2 linked regions of the Astyanax mexicanus genome follow. The protein of the gene in region 1 binds, or shares a complex with, the protein of each later gene. Links are inferred from orthologs where the notes say so. Each region holds a gene or a part of one and is shown on either strand. Other genes may lie near its edges.

The links. The genes of interacting proteins can lie anywhere in the genome.
Region 2: the proteins of ntsr1 (region 1) and nts are in contact, whole or in part, in a crystal structure (PDB 4BUO), measured with the Rattus norvegicus proteins. The link is inferred for Astyanax mexicanus from reciprocal best matches to the Homo sapiens genes NTSR1 and NTS. Residues at the interface, in NP_001102437.1 of Rattus norvegicus: Ser53, Asp54, Leu55, Asp56, Asn58, Phe128, His132, His133, Tyr146, Met208, Val224, Cys225, Thr226, Pro227, Ile238, Arg327, Arg328, Phe331, Cys332, Tyr333, Ile334, Ser335, Asp336, Trp339, Phe344, Tyr347, His348, Tyr351; in NP_001095851.1 of Rattus norvegicus: Arg157, Arg158, Pro159, Tyr160, Ile161, Leu162.

Annotation. Positions count from the first base shown.
Region 1 is NC_064420.1:31,972,691-31,979,562, forward strand, and holds the start of ntsr1 (neurotensin receptor type 1), read left to right. Parts: upstream 1-3,860; 5' UTR 3,861-4,117; coding exon 4,118-4,786; intron 4,787-6,872. UniProt on the Homo sapiens protein: G-protein coupled receptor for the tridecapeptide neurotensin (NTS). Signaling is effected via G proteins that activate a phosphatidylinositol-calcium second messenger system.
Region 2 is NC_064416.1:21,497,779-21,505,514, reverse strand, and holds the start of nts (neurotensin/neuromedin N), read right to left. Parts: upstream 3,003-7,736; 5' UTR 2,705-3,002; coding exon 2,635-2,704; intron 1,633-2,634; coding exon 1,571-1,632; intron 1-1,570. Other genes in the region: rassf9 (ras association domain-containing protein 9), read left to right, coding at 7,271-7,317. UniProt on the Homo sapiens protein: Neurotensin may play an endocrine or paracrine role in the regulation of fat metabolism. It causes contraction of smooth muscle.

The DNA.
Region 1 (6,872 bases):
TGTGGTGGCTTGTTGTAAGAAGGGCCATCCATGTCATTCTTCAGTGGGGAAACTAATATGTTTGTTTGAGGGGACTTTTATTGACTGGTTTCCCTCCAAAATGGCAGGAGGTGACATCACAACACTTCCTGTTTGGTGCTATTTAAGGCTGTGCAAGCCGTTTGGTTAGGTTTTGTTTTAGAGCTGTTTGAGCTTATGGAATTGGAATTGTTTAGCAACTTGCAAACAGTAAGTAAATGTAAATATATTTATAAGTGGAAAATGGCTTATATATTTAATTTGATTATTTATTTATTTATTTATTTATTTATTTGATAAACACCACTAGTGATGGGCAGATGAAGCCTCATTGGGTGTATGGCACATTTCCCAAACTGTATCGACACTGTGTTGAAACTGTGTTGCTGTATCACTTAATGGCGACATCTGCTGGACTAAGAAAGTCATTGCAAGCAACTGCGCGAAGAAATGCATCGGTCACGTGGTTTTCCTTAAAATGATACGCTGTCTGACACAGGGGTTCGCCTTGTTTGCTCGGTGCATGCGCTGAAGTTTCAGTGTCGTCAGACCCATCGCTACCAAACGATACAGGAAGTGTATCGGTCACGTGGTTTTCCTTAACTTGATACGCGCACCGACACGGGGTTTCGCCTTGACAGCTCGGCGCATGTGTCGAGGTTTCAGGGTCGTCAGACCCATCACTAAACACCACCATCTTGCATCTGACCCAAAGCTTTCTCCTATATTTTTTTTTTCTGCCAGACCATCACAAAAGTAAATTATTCAACAAGCATAAAGTCACGGTTTGCTTAAAATAGTAAGTAGAAAATGTTTAGAATTGGATTTCTCAGTTAAATGTTAAATTTTACCTCATCTCTTATGGTGGCAGTTGTCTATTTTATCCTTTAGTCCTTCACCATTGATCACATTTCTGGGTGGTGTTTTTTTTTTCCAGTCTAGTAGTGGCACTGAGGAGTTTAAAAACTCCAGCAGCACTGCTGTGTCTCAACACTACTAACACACCACTACCATGCCAGTGTCACTATAGTGCTGAGTAAAGTTCTGGACACAATTGTAAATTCAATTCAGCATTTAAAAAAAATAAAAAATAAAAAATGTTCTAAATTAAGTGTTTTTCCACATTCTTTAACAAAAAGATGGTCAGTATTTCAGTCACACCTCAATGTGATTTTAGTAATTCTAGCTACACTTTATGTTGATACGGTGCATGTTGAAGATTTGCAAATGTTAGAGTATTAAAGAGTATTAAAGTAGAGCAATATTAGAATTTGTTGACACCTGATCAAAAATTCGGTTATCATGAATATTTGGTTGAAGAAATTTTGATCTGATCTCCAAAAGACATTGAAGTTAAAAATAATAACTTTTTCAATGTTTTAACCATAGTTGCATGTTATTTTATTGCACAATATTCCAAAAAAGGTTCAAAAAGGGTTGAAATATAACCAATTATGTTACCAAAAACCTAGGATTAGACTTAATTCGCCTATTAATACTAGGGCTTGCACAGGCGTATCTTTTTAAAGGTCAGGTGATGCAGATTTAAAAACATTTTGAATACTTCTAAGACCTCTAAGACCGTGAAATTTGATCCTAACCCTTGCCTGATGCCTTCAAAGCAGAGGAAGGATATGAAAGATAGCAAAGCGTATTCTGGTGTCTGTTTCCTCAGTTCAGTTAACAGGAACATTACAGGTCAGTTTGAGGTCTAGAGGACCAAGAAAAGAGTACTACCGGCAGAATTGCTAGTAAGCAAAGGAAAATCAAACCCTCTTTTTGACAACAAATGACCTTTAGGAAGATTTGTCAAGACAAATGGTGGAGTGGGGGAGCACTATTCTACTGTGAAGTAACATCTCTATGAAAGTTGACCTCTATGAAAAAGTTACTAGAAGAAAATGTTTTTTTTGCATGACCTCACCACAATATTCATTGTTTTAAACATAAAAAATAAAAAAGAGAGAGAAAAATTGTGCTTAAGGAACAGTGTTTTGAGCACAGTACAAGTAATTGAGTGTTAGGGAGCACCATATAACTTGTATGTAATGTATTTCAAAAAAGAAGGATCTTTGTCTAACGTTAAAGATTGCATTTACGTTTAAAACATCCACACAAATATCCACATGTACAGTACCTGTATTTTTCTGACACCTCTGCAGCCTGAATTTTTATTTATTTATTTTTATTATTTTTACATTCATATTCTTGTATTCTAAGTTATAAACAGTATTTGACAAAAATATATCCACATAACATGTTTGTGTCTAAAATTACAGAAAACGTTGCAGTTAGTTTAGAATTACCTGCTAAATCTGGCAATATAAAATATACAATTCACATGTTTTTTGTGCATAACCTCATGTAGCATTGCATTAAACAGTGTTTTCTCATCATTTAATCATGTAATTTTACAGTATTTTTTTCTGTTTTTATTCTGAAATCTCATACAGAAAATTATAGTGATTATTTTTTCTCTTCTTTTTATTATCTTTTTCTCTATAAAGCTATATACTGTCGGTCCCAAGCTCACTTTGGGCTGGATCTAGCCTAGCAATCCTGAAGATATATTACTGCCCACAGCTAAAAGCTAACAGTAAAGGTCAACTAATAGCTGTGTTTGAGAAGAGCCACTGGCTCTCCTGTTGTCTATTTTCAGTTCCAGACTTTGCTGAAGGTCCAGAGTTTTAGTAAAGAGCTGTGGATAAAAATGTTTTCTACGTTGTATATGTAGCCTATTAAAAGACATATAAAAAAATATTTAAAGGACACATGTGGAATTGTGTAGCAAACAGTAAAAAAGTGTCCACAATCCCCTGATCTAAACCTGGTCAACTGAAATGGTGATTTGGGATGAGCTGGAGCTTCACAGCTTCAAGTAACTACTGTTCAGCACCTCCAGAAACTCATAACGGCCAACATTTCTCTTAAAATTTTAGTTTCTTTGATTTTACCAAATGGAAAACCTCTGGAATATAATCAAGAGGAAGATGATCCCAAGCCATTAAACCAAACTGAACTGCTTGAATTTTTGCACCAGGAGTGGCATAAAGTTATTCAAAATCAGTGTGTAAGACGGTGGAGGAGAACATGCCAAGATGCATAAAAGCTCTTAAAACTTGAACTCTTAAAACTTTATTAATATGAACTTATCTTCTTTGCATTATTTGATGTCTAAAAGTTCTGCATCTTTTTCGTTATTTCAGACATTTCTCATTTTCTGCAAATAAAAGCTCTAAATGGCAATACTTTTATTTGGAATTTGGGAGAAATGTAGTCTGTAGTTTATAGAATAAAACAACAGTGTTAATTTATTTTAAACATATGCCTATAAATAGCAAAATCAGAGAAAAACATTATGATTAAGACATTGAAGTGATCTCTTACTATTTTTCCACAGCTGTGTATACACACACATTAAGGTTTTCAAGGTTTATTTCATTTATTTTCTACATTGTGCATTCATATTAAAGACATGAAAACAATTAAGGGACACCATTAAGGCAGCAACTATTGTTCAGCACCTCCAGAAACTCCTTCCTTGTGTTTTTAGTACCTTAAAATTGCAATGTTTAAAAAAATAAATAAATAAAAGAAAGAAAAAACACATTGAGTGAGAAGAGATCGGTATTGTGTGTGTGTATATATAGATATTAAAAAGGGAGCGAGAGAGAGAGCGAGAAGGGGCGCGTGCACTATAGTCATTGAGAATGGCGCTGCGTCATTTCTCAAGGTTTTCGATTCAGCGCGCGCCTCCTCCTCCTCCTTCTCCCCCTCCTACTCCATCACTCTCCAGCGATATAAAAGCGCGCGCGCCAGCTTCCCCAACCCGAAGGGTCTTCTCTTGTGAGCCGACAGTTCAGAGTGGTCTTCTCCATCATCTGCATCATTTTTTTTATTTCTTTGCTTGTTTATTTTCTTTCTTTTATTCTTAATTCTTTTTCTTTTCTTTTTTTGTACCCATTATGATCATATAACCCAACCAAGCAAATGCGCACCAGATGCGTCCTGGGTTTATTGTATTTTATAGTTTAGAGAGTTTAGTTTAGAGACGTTTAAAGACGTTTAGACTTCTAAAAATAAACTGTTGAGCGCGAGGATGGACGCGAACGGCACTTTAACAGTGCGGAACTTTTCCAAGTTGCGCGCTTTAACGCAGCAACTTATAATCAACCACTCCGCGCCGTTCCACGCCAACGGCTCTGGCTCCGGCACCGCGTCGCAGGAGGACCTGGACGTGAACACGGACGTCTACTCCAAGGTTCTGGTGACCGTCATCTACGTGCTGCTGTTCGCCGTGGGCTGCCTGGGCAATTCCATCACGCTGTACACGCTGCTCACCAAGAAGTCCCTGCAGAACCTGCAGAGCACCGTGCACTACCACCTGGCCAGCCTGGCCGTGTCCGACCTGCTGATCCTGGTGCTCAGCATGCCGCTCGAGCTCTACAACTTCATCTGGGTGCACCACCCGTGGGCGTTCGGGGACGCCGTGTGCCGGGGCTACTACTTCCTGCGCGACGGCTGCTCCTACGCCACCGCCTTCAACATCGCCAGCCTGAGCGCCGAGCGCTACATGGCCATCTGCCACCCGTTCAAAGCGAAGAGCGCCATGTCCCGCAGCCGCACCAAGAAGCTGATCAGCGGCATGTGGGCCGCCGCCTTCCTGCTGGCCACCCCCATGCTCTTCACCATGGGCCAGCGCACCGTGGACGCGGTGCCCATCTGCACCACCATCGTGTCCACCGGCACCGCCAAGACCGTGTTACAGGTGAGGGGCGGGATTTTACCGGATTTTTATCTTTACTGGATTTTACATTTGGAGAGATGCGTTATATTATGTGTAGCATCATTATTAGAAGTAGTATTAATGTGGCAATGCGTTTTTTTTATAATTTTTATAAACTTAAAAAAAAAAAAACTTGATCAGCTCACACAGGAGATAAAAATATATATATTTTTTTGGCCCAAACCGACTTATCGACTAATTTTCTATTTTTTTTTTTTTTTTTTTTTTTTTACTAAAAGTCAATACAGTTCTGGAAAAAAAATTAAGACACTGATTAAGAGTTTCTGAATCAGATGGTCTGATTTTGTTATTCAGAGGTATATGTTAGAGTAAATAAATGAACATGTTTTATCTGTGTGTGACACCTCTTGGTTTTATAGTTCTGAAGTCTAAAGAACAAACATCCCGGAGTTTAAGAGGATTATACAGCTCTGGAAAAAATTAAGAGACCATTTCAGTTTCTGAATCAGTTTCTCTGATTTTGCTATAGGTATGTGTTTGAGTAAAATGAACATTGTTGTTTTATTCTATAAACTACGGACAACATTTCTCCCAAATTCCAAATAAAAATATTGTCATTTAGAGCATTTTTTTTGTAGAAAATGAGAAATGAAAAAATTAAAAATTAAGATGCAGAGCTTTTCACCTCAAACAATGCAAAGAAAACACGTTCATGTTCATAAAGTTTTAAGAGTTCAGAAAATAAAATATTTGGTGGAATAACCCTGGTTTTTAATCGCAGTTTTCATGCATCTTGGCATGTTCTCATGTTCTCCTCCACCAGCCTTGTATACTGATTTTGGATAACTTTATGCCACTCCTGGTGCAAAAGTCCAAGCAGTTCAGCTTGGTTTGACGTCTTGTGATCATCCACCTTTCATCCTCTTGATTATATTCCAGAGGTTTTCAATTTGGTAAGATCAAAGAAACTTATAATTTTGAAGCGGTCTCTTATTTTTTTTTTATAAGAGGCTCCACACAATAGAATGCAGTATACAAGTAAGACGTGATTTTTCAATCAATTTTTTTTTCAACGCAGTAGGCGGGGCTACACTGCTGTTTGACTGGCTAATAAATTTCTATTCTGATGACTAATAGGTCTGAATTTGTGTGAAGTGAAAGAATACACAAAACATAGAAAACATGTGTGTCTGAAAGGGTTAAACAAAACGAAATATTTGTCTGAATTAAGGCAGAAAGCTGAAATTTCATGTTTTTTATTGTTTTTTGCCACTTTTTTTAACACTTTTTGTTTTGCTCTTCAAAGAAAAAGCCATTTCAAAAGGACAATAAAGTTAAGTATTGAGTGAAAGCATTGAGCTGAATATTTTAATATCGCAGTTTTGTGGACATACCAACAAAGCCCAGTATTGTTTAATACAAATAATTATTTCTTTCTCTGTATTTGCTCGTTATTGTTTTTAACCTTATCCTCATGACTTTAATTTAGCCCAACTATCTTTACTCATACAGACAGTGAGTTGCACACATTTCTACTGACCAAAAGTCAAGTTTTATAAGCTTAATAGGGTTAAAGTTTTATATATTTATATGTATTTGCCTGCCTCATTTGCACAAATGAAAAAATCTTTCAGAAGCTCTGATTGGTGTGATTAAATTATTTGTTTTTTATTGTTCATACAAGGGGTGTGCCATATTGTTTTGTACACAATAATATTGCCAACATTTTTGAATATCGTGAACGATATTATAACCTTAAATGTCATGCAATATCACCACCCCTAATTATCACATCAGGGTACTACTTTTGCTGTTTTTAGCAAACGAAAAATGTGGTGTGCTGCAGATAGTTTATCATGAAAACCTGCAGCCACACCAGGCATTTGTAATTATTGACTGATGCCCCTGGTTTAAACCATATTAGTGTGGGATTTGGAACTGGCCACAGTCTAGAACCCTAAAGCACAGACAGTTCCCAGAACATTTTCGAAGGCAATATTGATGAAGATGGCTTGGGGAGGTGACAGCACACAAGATGGAAAGTAGATCAGTGTGGAGAAGTCCAATATACAAATTGATGGAGCCGAGAGCCAATGGGGCAGACACG
Region 2 (7,736 bases), on another chromosome or scaffold:
TCTATCCAATTAGCTTGGTTTAAAAAAGCAGTGAGTACAGAACTCCACTCAGCATTAGGACTGAGAGAGGGGGAATTTGTTCAGCATGACAGATTGCTTTGTTTCCTGTTGAAGGATGAGGCACGGGGAAAAAAACTCTCATTGGTGTAACTGCATTTACCACACTCCCTGAGCCCTTTTATACACTAGAGGGCTGGTTGACTTAAGACTAAATGAGAGCATAATTAATTTAATATCTCTTTTTAACTTTTAAGATGAAAAACAACAGTAAATTTGATGATGTGGTGTTACATGCTATTGTACTTTTTTCACAGCAGTTACATAAACTAAGACAAGCCCTGTTAAGCATCATATTATTACATATTATAAGTGCATTAACTGCATTTATCACACTCCCCATACTTTTTTTATACACTGGACTGAAAAAAACGTGTAAAATATGTAATAAAAAAAAATTGGGTCCAGTATCTACAGTCTTTGACCTACTTGCATTTAATATCCAATATGTCTAAAACATAACCCCAGCTCTATTAAGCTTCATATTATTATTACCCATGTCCTGAACAACCTTCACCTGCATTTCTAAACTGCTATTGTAAAGCGATGCTCAATGATCCTGCATCAGGCAGCTGTGTCTGCTCATCACAGCTAAAACATGTCATCTTGCTCACCAATGGATCCTGACGCACTGCTTTTCATTTCAGTGTGATTGCACTTCACTTGGCTTAAGTACCATAGATTGCACATTGTGTGACAGAAATTATTGATCTGAATCTGAAGGTGTCATGATATAGAGTCTAGCAATTTATTAACCTGTGGTAAATCATCATTAAGACATCTAAAGTGAAGATATCGGGTGACCTGTAAAATTGGTCAGAGAAGAGTCATTTGATAATATGACAATCCCTATTAGACTTTGCAACTGATTTTGCATGATATGATATTGGCTTATTTCTTTCTGACCATAGTAGGGATGGAATGGGAATATATTCCCATATATTCCCAGTTGAGGTCTCTTAAAAGCAGAAAGTTATGTGCTATTGCAGTCCTTCAGCTAATAATTAGATGAAAAACGTTCAAAATATTAGTGACACTTTTGAAACTCTAATATATAGTTAAGCAATAGCTAAAAATAATAAAAGGGAAAAATAGATCAGGAAACTGATATTTAGAACATCTCTGAAAATTTCATATGAATAAGAACCTCCTCTTTGGAAATATTTTCTAATTAATGTTCACTAATTCATTGCATTTCTGAAATCTAGAAGCTTTTCCCATCGATTGGTTCGAACATAGATCTATGGAAGTCATGAGGGCCTACAGTAGTAAGGTCAGTATCCTGTGTGTTCTTCTGTCAAAGGGCAGTTCAATCGATGTGAAACTCCCTGCTGATGCAGAAGCCAGCTTTAAACTCCCCCTCACTGTTAACATCTGTCTTGCCCATAAACCCTGTGTACTTCTGAGACCATTCTTTTTTATCTCACACCCTTGAACCTCTGCATATCTTTAATGTCCACCAGTCAGAACTGGTGAGCCTCAACAAACAGGTGTGAAGAAACTATCACTTTACCTCTGAGGTGTAGAGACTGCTCAGCATCTCCTCCTCCATGGCATCCTTTGCTTCATCAACATCTGTTGGATTAAAGAACAACAGCCATAAATGTTATTTGTAGGCATATATATGCCTATATAATAGAAACACTATATATATATTATATATAACTATGTAACAAACATTACGAGCTTAGGTGAACCTGGTTAATGATGAAGATGACCTGTGCAAATCCTATGTATCCTAACTCCCTCGGCGGATCTGCACTTTAAACTAAGGAGCTCTGATTCCAGCTTGCCTGGACGTGCTCGATGAGCAGACGTGAGCATTTTTAATTTATTTTTTTGCTGTGAAGGTGCAGATGATCTGCACCATATTTCTTAGATTTATTTATTAGGAGCCATAAGTTTGCAGGAGCTGTAAACTTGAACTCACATTTCATGAGAACACAATAAATGCTATCCTAATTATTAGAGTAAATCACTTTCCCCTCTTATTCACTCTTCCTCTGAAGTTCATAAATGATGACAAAATATGCTTCTAACATAATTAATCAATTTCTAAAGGAAGAGTATGTACACCATAGAATGTAACCATGTTGTGCCTGTCCAAAGAAAATGATTTATTTCTACTTTTTTTTTCAGGATTTAGCTTTATACATCATTTGAACACAGCAGCTGTCCTTCACATTGAGTCAAAATACAATGAATGGATCAATAAAAATGCTTTAAAATGGAACTATAGTTTGGAAATACATGCTTTTCTTTGGACAGTGAGGATATAAAATATTATAACACCTAAACACTGATATTAAATAGAGTTTAAATATGATGTGATATCATCTTGTTTTTTTGTTTTTAATACTCGGTGTACCTTTTTAAAGCAATAAATTCATAACATTGTTGTAATTAAGTCCTGTCCCATGCACTGCATTCCTAAAAGAGTTTTCCTTTGCACAACTTTAAGAGTTGAGGTGAAGATCTCAGATTGCAAGTGTTTTATATAATAATTATCTGACAGGGTAAATTAGGTGTGAAAGAAAGCTCAGGACTGCCTGTGCAGTGACTGACTGACGGGCTTACCTGAGCTGAATCCGCTGCAGATCAAACAGAGGAGCACCACACTGGTTAACTGCATCTTGGTCACCTGCATCTTGCTAACAATCCTGCAGACCTTACAAGTTTAGGCTAGGCCCGAGTCCATAAGGCTAAAGGTCAAGAAGGGAGAGAAAGAGTGGAGAGAGTGAAGTAGGATGATGGAGACAGAGAAAGAGTGAGGGAAAGAGAAAGAGAGATGGAGATGGGAGTTGGGAGAGAAAGTGGTCCCTGGTCTTGGTTTCTTATCCAGCCTGTCGCTCTGCGTTCTCTCGGCTTGTTCTGAGGACTGATGGGCTCCATTCCCCCAGTATATAAGCACTGGAGTGATGTCACAGGGGCTGCTTCATTACACCTCCCCCCACCCCTCTCTAGCTCACCCCATCCTCCCCGTCTATTCCATTCTCCATCAGCTCCCCATCGTGTGACGCCATCAGATGACACCACTTTGGCCACTTTGGCGACTGACGTCAAAACTTGCATACCCGCTCATCTGACCTGCGCATTTCTCCTTTTTTGGGGGTGAAACGCTCAAGCGGAGATATGAGTTGACAATTAAGGAAAAATGACGGAGGGAAGAAAGTAAGGTACCAAATTATTTGCATCAGTTTTGTTTGAAGGTGGTAAACAGGGGACATGAATATTTTACATGCATAAAAGATAATATAATGCTTTCAGGCATAAGATAGACCATAACTGGCTTGGAATATATATCTGCTGTTGCATCTCCAATCACAAGTGTTTGTTAAGATCTTTTTTTCTTCAAGAAGTTATCACTAGCATTTAAAAGCAAATTGTACTTTTTTTGCTTGTTATTTTTGTATTATTTATATCTCATTTCTTATTCATATCTCACTAAAACAAGCAGACCAGTTCTAAACTTTTAATCAGTAAACCTTTTTATTTTTGCCAAGGGCTTGTCTGTACTTGACATCCAAACAAATAAATAAATTAAAATAAAATGCCAATCAAGAGTAAATGTGTTTTGTTATGTACCCAACAATGTATTTATATTTAAAATAATTTAATACCACTTCATAATAGCGGAAAACAACACATAACTATTAAAGGTTGATTATCCTTTATGCTTTCTGGATCTTGCACATTTATCTTGCACACTTCTAGTACCGGTATTCCCTTGTGTTTTGTCTAATTGCAAGACTATGTTCAAACTGCAGGCAAATCAATTTTGTTTCTCATTGTTTCTCAGATCACATATGTTGAGATGCTGTCTGCACTGTTTATTTGCAAATAATCAGATTGGATGTGGCTATCGGCATGAGTTGCTTTGGTAGCTAGATTAGCGTCATTAACAAACCTTTGAAGCTCTTATTCCATTTGCATCACTATAGATGTGTAGGTCATTGTTTATCGCAGTGGGAGTGATGCAAAAGACACATTGAAATCTGATTTGAGCATCCAGAGCATACGATTGTCATTGCAGTTTAAATCCCTCCAAATATGGTTTGGATCTGATTACAAAAATCTGATCAAAAGTCAATTTAGAAACAATGTAGATTTGCCAAATTTGGACAGCAGTCTAAACAAAACCAAAAACAGCTATCTTTACTACAGTGCATTCATTGTAACTTAAGTCTGGGTTTCCCTCCTGTAGCCTAATTACTGAAGAACATATGCACAGCTAAAACTCCCGTGTGTAATTACTGCCTTGTGTTAAATGAAGTAGAAAAACAGCTCTGAATAAAACAGTTTAGAAATAAAAAAAACCCACAGCATTAAATGAACACCTGTAGGAGTGTAGGATGATCACCTACAAGAGTTCAATGAGGTGCCATTAACATCTACTATTGGGTCATTTTGGGTCATTCTGGTTTTTACACTACTGGTAGTTTTGGTGTAGGTTTTCTGTAGCCCAGCCACCAGATAACAGGTTACATTACAGAAATCCTTTGTTTCATTTGAAACACCTTCACAGTTGAAGCTGTATTTGACAGAAAATGTTGCAAAGATCTGTAAACACATTTCCAAAAAGTATACATCTTACGAGTAGCTATGAAGTAAATCTAATCAAGATGTGTGGATTATTTCAGATAAAAACTTTATTTTAAACTAAGCTGTCTGTGTGACTGATAGGATTAGCTAATGTTCGCTTAGAAGTTATCATATTGTTTGGAAGTTGTGATACTGAAGTATCACTTGAAATTGTAGCACTTATCTAAATTGTTGATTTGTAGTTCAGAATTCATTTGTTTAGAGAATTAACATAAACAGTGGTATTATTGTATTGTTGTTGATTAATATTAGACTGCCAGCTGATACTTAGATAACCTGGCTGTATAACCAAAAACATTAGAAAAGGTTAAGTTTTATATCACTTAATTTATTCCCCATTATTTTTGTATAGTATTATTTAAGGTACAGGTGTTGTTTCTGGTAAGAAAGAAGTAAAATATATGTTGTTTAATGTCTGTAAAAGTGTTTTTAATTCCTTTTTCATCTTCCCTTTTCACAGGGTGGAACAAACATGCCTGATACCGAGAAGAAGACATTTTACATTTTAAGAAATATTCAATTTTGATTAGCACACTGTTCAGTTTTAATGGAGCTGTGCTTCTGTTAGACATGCTCACTGATAAATACTTAATTTTATTAAGAAAAAGACAATACATTTATAAATGACAAACAACCCAACAAAAACTACAGAGTTAAAGTGGGTAAACTCAGTTTTTAGGGTTATTAATATGGTAGGTCAATTTAACTCTCTTTGTTCTGCTATATCAACTGACCACTGGGTTGTATACCAGATTGGATCATTAACACCCACTGCCCTGTCCACAGTTGGGGGTAATGCCCACCATGATGTATTCCTGGTACACACACTGTGAACTCTGTGGATGGAGGAGTGATAAACGCCCGTGCAACTTCACAGATGTTATGTCTCAACCATCTGGCACCCACTATTAGGCCTCACTCAAACTCAGATAATTCACAATGTTGTGCCATGAGCACACTGCACAGTGTTCAAACTTACTCTCAAGATTTTCAGGCACCCTGCTGCTAGAAAATTATCTTTTTTTAAGACATTTTCTGGTGCTCTTGCTGAGGGAAAATAACCTTTTTACATATGTTTTTTAATTATGTGGCAGATGGGTATATAGAAAAGGCATTGCAGTTAAACAAACATTCACTACATGCATTAATCAGATAGAAGTATAGATACTAGGGTTTAAAATACTTCTGTTCTCAAGCTTCTTTAGTCAAGTAGAAGTGTAAAAGTACAGGTTTCAAAACTACTTAAAGTATAAAAGTAAAAGTAATGTAATGAGGAAAAAATGCCATTAGGGACAAAAGCTTTCACTGCAAATTGTACTAAACTTAGTTGGGACATTTCACTCAAGTTCTCTGAAGTATCTACATGCATCATCTTCATACTAGACTACATACGTCTGCTTTGTTCTTGCTGGATTGTGGGCGTGACGTGTGCAGGTGTGATGGATCGTATAAACCAATAGGGTTTTGGAATGGTATATGTTTATACTTCTCATCCAACCACAATAACATTCACTCTATCCGGATGGAGCAATTTATCTGGATATGGTTCTTTGTTTGTGACTGATGAAATTAAATAGAAGTTAAGAGACTATTTTTAAAATGTAAGTAGAAGTAGACTTTCAGGGGTCTGAAAACGAATTACTCCAGTAAAGTATAGATGACCAAAAGTTCTACTTAAGTAAGGTAAAGTATTTCACATGTAGTACTTCATATCTTACTTCATATCTGCATAACAACACTAATTTCGTGTAAAATCACAGAAAAGAAAATAGGATCATTATAAGTTTAAGTAAAAAGTCGTCTGAAAAAGAATTACTTAAGTAAAGTATCGATAACCAAAATTTCTACTCAAGTAAGATATTCACATATTTCACCTATTTCACATATAGTACTTCACAACTTACTTAACAACACTAATTGTGTGTAATTGTGTTAAAATGGCCAGATGGATCACGTGACACTTGATCAACAAGCAGTCAACAAGTATTTTTGTCGTGTTAAGGTGATCTAGAGAAAGTTTTTAACCAGGAAAACACTGTAAAATATGTTTGTGAGCTTATAAACAATATTTTTCCAGTGCAGTAGTAGTTGTGTTACTCTTAAAGGGACTTGACATTGTTTATAACGTGCTTAATATAATATAAGCTAATAATAAGAGATATGTAAATGTATTGAGGGAAAACTTACAGCTTCAGATCAGTAGCTATTCAGTAATTGAGTACATTTAAAATATTTAAACCCTCTCAGACCTGTTTGTGTAGAGCTTTTGAGCTAATGGGAAATATTAGGGAGGCTATATTATCTGTTGATTGTGTTGTGGTGTTTTTTTCTCTGTGTGAAAGTGTGATAATTACAGCAGGTAAAGGTGCTGGGACTCATCTGTGAGGCACTGCTCTCTGTTTCCAGCCCTCCATTAGGTCACCTCCCTCTGGTGCTCTGGGACGGCCCTCTGCTAACCAGCCTGCCCCGCTTTTTTACTCCTCCACAACTTCTACAAGTTTTCCCACCGCGAGTACCGCCGCTCTCAGAGCCAGACTGAGAACCCAGAGACCTCAGAATGGAGCGGGACTGAGCGCTTCAGCCGCGCGGACTGAGGGTCTGAACCGGAGCAATGGCGCCGTTTGGAAAACACTTTCTGAAGGCTCGTTTGAAAAACAGGTGAAGGAGGATTTTATCTTTTTTAAAGGGTGATTTTCAGCGGCTGGAGGGAATTCAGACGCTCTGTTAAGAGTTTCACAATTTTTACATGGGTCAGCTACAGGAGTAAGAGCTAGACTGAATGAGAATGTGTCTTTTTCTTCTTAATTTAAAACATAAAAGGACTTTTAGTGTAATTTGTAGCCTGTGGGAATGTGTGCCGAGGGGCTGCTGGAGCTGAGAGAATCGTGTAGCTAACACAAAAGAGAAATGCCTTTGCTGTTGTAACCAGAGAAGCTGCATACAGTACAGTGTTGTTCAACTGTATGGCGCCCAGGCTCGAGTTACCAAGGTGCTGTTGTTCAGCTCACATGGATGCAGGTGCCTGGTGTGTGTGTGGTTGTGTGTGTGTGTGTGTGTGTGGAGAGAGAGAGAGAGTT